Linked DNA regions of Mus musculus. The protein of the gene in region 1 purifies or fractionates together with the protein of each later gene. This does not show direct contact. Links are inferred from orthologs where the notes say so. Each region holds a gene or a part of one and is shown in the gene's direction. Other genes may lie near its edges.

What was found.
Region 2: the proteins of Champ1 (region 1) and Cbx5 purify together in Homo sapiens (affinity purification with mass spectrometry; 6 studies listed by BioGRID and IntAct, with this or other methods). This does not show direct contact. The link is inferred for Mus musculus from reciprocal best matches to the Homo sapiens genes CHAMP1 and CBX5.

The regions. Positions count from the first base shown.
Region 1 is NC_000074.6:13,875,924-13,879,732, forward strand, and holds part of Champ1 (chromosome alignment-maintaining phosphoprotein 1), read left to right. Parts: intron 1-173; exon of another isoform or gene 174-303; intron 304-1,874; 5' UTR 1,875-1,920; coding exon 1,921-3,809. UniProt on the Homo sapiens protein: Required for proper alignment of chromosomes at metaphase and their accurate segregation during mitosis. Involved in the maintenance of spindle microtubules attachment to the kinetochore during sister chromatid biorientation.
Region 2 is NC_000081.6:103,236,969-103,241,438, reverse strand, and holds the start of Cbx5 (chromobox protein homolog 5), read left to right. Parts: upstream 1-1,586; 5' UTR 1,587-1,706; intron 1,707-4,470. Other genes in the region: Hnrnpa1 (heterogeneous nuclear ribonucleoprotein A1), read right to left, coding at 243-359, 911-925. UniProt on the Homo sapiens protein: Component of heterochromatin that recognizes and binds histone H3 tails methylated at 'Lys-9' (H3K9me), leading to epigenetic repression. In contrast, it is excluded from chromatin when 'Tyr-41' of histone H3 is phosphorylated (H3Y41ph).

The DNA.
Region 1 (3,809 bases):
CAACATTAGAAAAACATACTAAATGATTAAAAAATAGCGGGGTAAGAAGGCATGTGAGGTGCTGTGCTTGTAATCCTAGCATATGGGAGGCCCAGGCAGGTGAATCAAGAGTTTGGGAAGCAGGCCAAACTGCTACATAATGAGACCCTGGGCTCACAAAAAGCATCACTTAGTCCGAGGCTAGAGTCACGCTCTGGTATTGCTTGTTGCCTTAGTGTGCTAGAGTCCTCGAAGAATAACTGCTGACCTTATTCACTGGCTGTGGACTTTCTGGCACAGTCAGTCACCAGGTTAGTGACATCCGACATATGTCAGGTTAACCCATTCAAAGTTACGTTGGCTTTTGTCAGCCCTATTTCTTTAGGGAACCCTTTAAAGAGAGGGGGTGCTAGTTAGTGACCTGACTTCTGCTTTGAAAATTATATCTGGTGCCTGCTGTGTCAGTGTTCCCAAGAGTGAACATTTACACTCACTAGTAGACGACTACAAAGATAAGCTTACTCGGAGTGAGGCTCTGAAGATGGTTGGGGAAAAAAGCATCACTTAGAAACCCAGATTCTAAGCCTTATGTTTTAAATTTTGTATGTAAACCAGTGTGTGTTTTATAAAAACCATTTGTGGTTAGATACTATAAAGTTAATGAGATAAATAATAAGCTGGAAAATATTTTAGATAAGGACTGTTCTCTTTGTAATTATATATTAAAGTTTACAACTAAGAAAGGTAGATATAGAAAATGAACCAATACCTAATTTTTAAAAAGACAAAAGGCTAGTAGGGAAATTGTTCAGTCTTTCTCATGAAAGAACAACACAGTAAAGCTGGGTATGGTGCTGTACGCACCTTGGGCTGCATGGTAAGGAGCAGGTTAACTGTGCTACCTATCAAAAGCCTGCCTTTCAAAAAAAATAAACGAACTCATAGGATAAAAGGAAACACCGTTAAACAGCAGGAGTGAGAGTCTTCCCGTGTAGCAAGGAGTTTTACTCAGTTTTGAGGAGTTGGGGGAATCTTTCTCACCTGTACTCATGGTATATTTTAAAATCCAAACAGCCTTTGAGCCAAGTAGTAATTTACTATTTTCTATAGAAATACTCTCATATAAAAAAGTAGAAGGGAGTTTTATGCTTACTCTCTATAGCACGTGGGCATAGGTTGAATGTGAGCCATATGTGTAAAATGCTCTGTGCTTGTATATGGCCAGAACAGTTAGTTCCTCAGTAACACTGGTTACAATGAAAAAAAAAAAAAAAAAAAAAACTTGCTAAAAATGTATCCTCCATGCCTGATGTCTGTGAGACACCCTGAAGAGCTGTAGGCTCAGAAAGGCCCTTTTGACAGCTTCTCTGTTTTTATTCTAAGAGTGGTTAAAATATTCCAAAAGTTGATAGAAAATAAGGCCAGGATCATGTTGCAATCTTTCCATAGCTAGACTTAATAATTTCCTGGAAAGGATCTAAAGTTTCTTCCTAGATTTAAGTCACCTAGATATGCATCAGCTCTGTGTGTGGACAGCTTGTTGATTGAAGATCTTAGGGCCTAAGTGTAAGGCTACAGTAAGTAGTGGGAGTTGATTCTTGAGAAACTGATAGTCCTGGCCCTGGGCTAGAGCGAGTCAGTCAGTGTCTGGGAAGGTACGGCTATGTCTTCCCGCAGGAATGAAGAGGGTGTGCTTGAGCGACAGCCTTAGAGTTACCTGAGAGGCCCCAAATAAAACTCCAAGTGCTGTGCTCAGCCAGAGTTAGTCTCCCTTTTCTCAGAAATCTTGTAGACATTTTTAGTAAAGCATATGCCATTCCGGGCTCACAACTATGCAAGTACAGTATTGTGTTCAGCACAGAGTCCTTTGGAAATAACTTCTTTCTCTGTTGCAGCACTGTTGAAGTCTTTCAAGTGCAGTTCTACGGCGTGTGACAGAAGATGGAAGTGTGTCAGGAATTGAGGAAACCAGCGCTAAGCCTGGAGTGTGGGCACTGCAGTTTCAGAGGCACCGATTATGAGAATGTGCAGCTCCACATGGGCTCCATTCATCCTGAGTTCTGTGATGATATGGATGCCGGGGGCCTGGGCAAGCTCATCTTTTACCAGAAGAGTGCAAAGCTCTTCCATTGCCATAAGTGCTTCTTCACCAGCAAGCTGTACGCCAATGTGTACTATCACATCACGGCCAGACACGCAGCCTCGGACAAGTGGAGTGAGCAGCCGAAAGAGCAGCCGAGCAAAGACACCGAGTCTGGGAAAAGCCCTTCCCCTCCTGAGCGGCAGAACCCAGCCTTTGACCCAGCAGAGGCGAGGCCCACTCCAGCCCTCCCCATGGAAGCACAGAAAACGAGCCCGAGCTTGTGTCCAGAGTCACAGGCTTCTGGTCCTCCAGTTCTGGAGCCTCAGGGCGCTGGTCCTCTTATTTCGCCCGAGCCCCAAGCCCCTTGTCTTCCTGCTGAGGCCTCAAAAGCTGCTCCTGTTCCTTGCCCTGAGCGTGTAGACCCACCCTGTGAGCTTCCTGAGCTGGAGAAGCCTGAGCGAGGCCCTTCTCCTGAGTCAGTCAAGTCTGCTCTTGTCAGCTCCAAACCCCCAAAGCACTCTTCCTTTGCAGACACAGGGGCTGCCCCTTCAGCTTTGTCTCCAGAGTCACCAGTACTGGCCACTTCCCCTGAACCTTGGGGACCATCCCTCAGTGCATCTCCAGAGTCTCGGAAGCCAGCGAGGACTGCCTCCCCTGAGCCAAGGAAGCCATCCCCAGCAGAGTCTCCTGAACTTTGGAAGCCATTCCCTGCCATCGCTTCAGAGCCTCGGAGACCAACCCCAGCAGTGTCGCCAGGTTCCTGGAAGCCAGGGCCGCCTGGTTCTCCTAGGCCTTGGAAATCCAGTCCTTCAGCAACATCAGGACCGTGGAAGTCATCTAAACCTGTTCAACCTATGTCTCCTGGACCTTGGAAACCAATACCTTCTGTATCACCTGGGCCTTGGAAACCTGCCCCATCTATGTCCACTGCATCCTGGAAGTCTTCAGTCTCATCTGGTTCCTGGAAAACACCACCCACATCTCCAGAGTCATGGAAGTCTGGCCCACCTGAACTCCGGAAGACAGCCCTTCCCTTGTCTCCTGAGCACTGGAAGGCAGTGCCTCCCGTGTCTCCTGAGCTCCGCAGACCAGGCCCACCACTTTCCCCAGAGATCCGAAGTCCAGCAGGTTCTCCAGAGCTCAAGAAGCCTTCAAGCTCACCAGACCTTTGGAAGGTTTCTCCTGACCAGCGGAAAACTTCTCCTGCTTCACTTGATTTCCCTGAGCCCCAGAAAAGTTCTTGTGGTAGTCCTCCTGATCTCTGGAAGTCTTCCTTCATTATGGAGTCTCAGAAACCTAACGTCTTCTCTGAGACGAGGAAGCACACTGCTTCGGGCTCATCTGAGTCACCGAAGGTAGCGTCAGACATATGGAAGCCTGTCTTGTCTATCGATGCTGAGCCTAGGAAGTCCACACTGTTTCCTGAGCCCACCAAAGCAGTCCTTCCTGCTTCTCCCGAGCCACGGAAACGCGCACTTTTCCCAGAGTCCCGGAAGCACGTGTTTCTACCTGAACTTCCCAAATCCGCTGTGTTCTCAGACGCCCAGAAGGCCCCTGAGCTTAGTGAGGAGATACAACTTGAAGCTGTGGATAATGCAAAATGCGATAGTCTGGCCCAGGAAGGGCTTCTGGCCACCCCCAAGAAACTGTTAGACGAGGCTTTATCTCCTTCTTCAAAGAAGCTCAAGAAGGACAGCCAGGAGAACTCGGATGCCGAGCTCAGTAGCAGTGAATACATCAGAGCAGA
Region 2 (4,470 bases), on another chromosome or scaffold:
GAGTTAATTCAATCAATACACTGCCTGATCTCAGAATCAAAAGCCATTCCTAGTCTGATCAAGGCAAACATGAAACTTCAGAGTGGGGGGGTGGAAATGTAAGCTTCTTACAGATCTGAAGAAAGCCCCAGATTTTTTTTTACCATCCCATTAGTTAACTTCACAAAACAATTTAGCTAAGAAGCAGCAGATTAAATCGGAAGAAATAAGCCAGCTCTTCCTTTTGTTTCTTTTAATCTTACCACACAGTCTGTTAGTGTTCCCCATTGCTCAAAATGGCTCCTCAGACTCTCGTCGGTTGTTTCGAAGCTCAGCCCTCCGATGAAGAGCTTCCGCAGCTGTTCTGGCTCCTTGGGAGACTAAAGTGGAGGAGGGAGTGTTTAGCGGAGGGGCTGGAACCTGGGAAAATGAATCAACACCCCGCAACAACACATGCTACACTTTTTTATTGTTCTTTATTACTGCACGAGACCACGTGCTCCTTCCTAGGCTAGGAGGTGCTGCTGGGGATTCACTCGAGTTGCACGCAGCGCATGCGTCCTTACTTTTACTTCATACGCACGCGCAACAAAGGGCACAGGTTAGTCGGGTCCATCCCCATTAAGACTTAATATCTCTTTAACAAGCGATTGTTAGACCAGAATGGGGGAGGGGAAGAAAAGGCCACACTCCCCAGATCATTAGTCTGTGAAGTTTGCCACAAGGAACAGTGCATGGACGTTAATGGCGGTCGGATCGCAGCCTCATGGTGACTATGAGGACAAAATGGCGACCTGCATTTTTTTAAAGTAGGCCTCAGCACTAATCGATAAAACACCGAAACCACGGGTGCGAGCAGCAAAACACGTCACATCCCGCTATATTCAGTAAGTGTGGAAGAAAGAGAAGCTGCAAAGCGCATCCAACTTACCTCGGACTTAGACATGACGGTAGAGTTACGAGAGCCTTCAGCGATGCTTCCTCGGCAGCGTCAAAGAGCAGAAAGGAATACGATAACGAACGTGCCCGCCAGCCTACCTTCTGCTCGCCCTTTTATCCCGCCTCCTCGCTCTCGGTATTGGTAGACTCCGCCCTTACTTGAGTCTTATTGGAGATTTGAAATTATTCCCTCCCACCATTGGCCCGTGAAGACGCCCTGCTAAGAAACGGCATCCGTTTGGGCGTTCTATTCAGACTCCGCCCCTTTGAGTCACTGATGCCCCAAGGGATCTTATCCTTAATCGCATTGATTGGCTAACTAGCCAGTCACTTATATTTGAATGTATTCACGTCTTTTAAATGCCTTTCATAACTTTCCCACACCCGAACATTACAAACTCACTCGTCAAAGGACCGCACGCTACAAAGTAGCTCACCGCGACTTTTCCCAGCCACTCCCTATAAGGCGCATGTGTAATAAAAATGGCGAGTTCACGCCGGCGCACTACGATGTTCCGCCTGCTGCCTGGAACACGTGAAATGGCGGGCGGGAGAGGGTTGTGAACCTAGGCGCCTGCGTAGTGGCGGGACCAGCGTCCAGTTTTGCGCAGGCGTTTTGGGCGGAGAAAAGGTCCAAGCCCAGGATTGGTTGCGCAGGCGCAGGGAAGGATCCGTTTTGGCGGGCGGTTGGCATTGCGCAGAAGGCGGCGGTAGCGGTGGCTTGTGGTGCCGCTTTACCACAGAGGAACCGTGCAGGCCTTAGCGTGAGTGATCACTTTAGATCTTGGGTAAGTGGCAGAGTCTCGTCTACCCGTACGAGATCTTGAACCCGCTCCCATTGCACCGGTTATTGTACGAAATGAATGGACCGCTGAACTGGTGGGGGGGGGGGTGGACGACGACAGTGAAGGGGCCGCGACGGGTCGGGCCAGCCAATAGGACAACTGGGGCGGGATGTTTTATCCTTGCAGGTTCTGTGAAGCTGCCTTGCCGAAGCATTTGACTGGCGAGCCTATAGGCCAATTGGGTTTTCCTATAGCTGCCTACCGATCGGTCCTTGGGCCATCGGAATGTGGGAGGCGGGTTTTTCTCGCCTGAGTTGCGTCTCTCCGAGCCAATGAGCCCCAAGCGCGCGATTGGCCGGCCTTCCCCAAGAGGCAGAGGCTGGACTCCTGTGGGGAGCGCGGGAGTTGGCTGGTTAAATTCTTAGAGCAAGCCAGGAGTCACTAGAAAGACAGGATTCCCCCCTCCCCCCCCCAATAAAGCTTACTCTTGCATTTGTGGGGGCGAGTATTTTAACTTAAAATGACTCCTATAACTAAGGCATTCATTCTGTATATTACCTTAGGGAAAACATATGTTTTCTTGTGGCCCTTGAGTTAATCATTTTTCTTGTAGTTTTTGGTACGTTCCTCCCTTCACTTGAGACTTTGGAGAACGTGCCTTTAGTCTTTGAAAACTTTTAAGAGAAGAATATTGAAATTTTGAATGAGATGACTTAGGTAAAGTACTTGCAATGAAAAGCATCCAAGAAAAATAGACTTAACCACTAGCACCCATTTCCAGGGACACTGTATTTGTATTTCTATCTCTATGAAAGTTTTTGAGAGTTACATGTCAAAAGTCAAAACGTGTTGCTTCTATGGAAACAGTGGGGCCAAGGCCTGTATGTTTGAGGGATAATTGTCATTGATGAAATAATGAAAACCTTAATAAAAATAGACACATTTGGTTTTTTGTTTGTTTGTTTTGTGTCATCATGTACTTGTCACCACCATTCATGTTCCCAATTCTTTTATCTGAATCTCTTCTCCGAAGAACATTTTTCTCCCCTAACATTCAAGATACTCTAAGCTCCTATTTCTGCTGTTCATTTGAGGATGTCTGGTGTGGGGTGAAAAAGCTGATTCATTTAGGAGGTATTTAGGGTGTTGGGGACAGAAGACTCCACCATATCTTGAGTTGTTATTCATTGTTTTGATTCCATATATTTTTGTATTTTCTCTGCAATTTTGTTGGTGTTGATAATACCCACACTTCTCAGAGTATCTAGACAAATGTATAATTTCCATTTATTATCTGTGTCTGTTGATTTATTTATAGTCTTTGAGGTAGAGGTACCTCATTGTGATAAGAAAATTCCAGCCTGGCGTTAGTGGTCATTGCCTTTAATCCTAGCAGGAAGATGGATATCTGTTTGAGGCCAGCCTCCTGGTCCATGTAGTGAGTTACTTGACAGCCAAAGCATAATCAGACCCTGTCTCAAAAACGAAGAAAAGAAAGAAAAGAAGATAGTTTCATACTTTTTACAAAAGACTGATGATGCCGGGTGGTGGTGGTGCACGTCTTTGATCCCAGCACTCGGGAGGCAGAGGCAGGCGGATTTCTGAGTTTGAGGCCAGCCTGGTCTACAAAGTGAGTTCCAGGACAGCCAGGGCTACACAGAGAAACCCTGTCTCGGGGGGTGGGGGGGGGGGGACGGACGGACTGATGATTTCAATTTAGTTTTCTGTTTTATGTCTCAGGCTGGCCTCACATGAAGAGATCTACCTGTTGGTGCTATCATGCTTGACAGGTTTTTTTTTTTGTTGTTGTTGTTTTTTTTTTTTTTTTTTGGGTTTTTCGAGACAGGGTTTCTAAGTATAGCTCTGGCTGTCCTGGAACTCACTTTGTAGACCAGGCTGGCCTCGAACTCAGAAATCCACCTGCCTCTGCCTCCCAAGTGCTGGGACTAAAGGCGTGTACCACCACCGCCTGGCGCTTGACAGGTTTTAGTGATGTTTCTAATGAATAGAGATTTCCATAGTCACTGGCACTTTAAAAAGGACAAACATATTATACAACCATTAGCTGCTTATTTACACTAACAGTGCAACTTCAGTACTGAGCTCTAAAGTGATAGTGGACTCACGGCATCTACCTAGATATGGTTCAGAATATTTTTTTTTCCTTCCAGACATGGTTTCTCTGTGTAGCCCTCATTCTGTAGACCATGCTAGTCTTGAACTCAGAGATCCGCGAGCCGCTTGTTCTCGAGAGTGCCGGGATTAAAGGCGTGAGCCACACTTGCTCAGTCTCTGCTTTCTTCCTTTCCTTTCAGTGTTTCAGTTTTGTTTTTTTTTTTTCAAATTTTTATTAGGTATTTTCTTCATTTACATTTCAAATGCTATTCTGAAAGTCCCCCATACTTCCCCCCCAGTGTTTCAGTTTTAAAACAATACCAAAAATGTAAAAATGAATAATAAAGTCTTCCTCTAAAAGGGCTAATGCTAGAATTTATCATTTTCAGACATTTAGCAGTTAGCAAAGCATGGAGGAAATGACCGCCCACCACCACAACCACCACCACCTTGTCTTGGAGTACTCTTTAATAAATGGACCATTAATCCTGTTTTTCCTCTGGTATAGATTAGTTTCTGGGTCTTGAGGTTAAAAAGGGAAATTTTACCATTTCTTAGAGAGTGAACATAGGATTATGGCCAACCTGTATGCTTTGTGAGTTTCAGGTCAGCAGGGCCTACTCTGTCTTATAAATGAATAGGACTGATTACA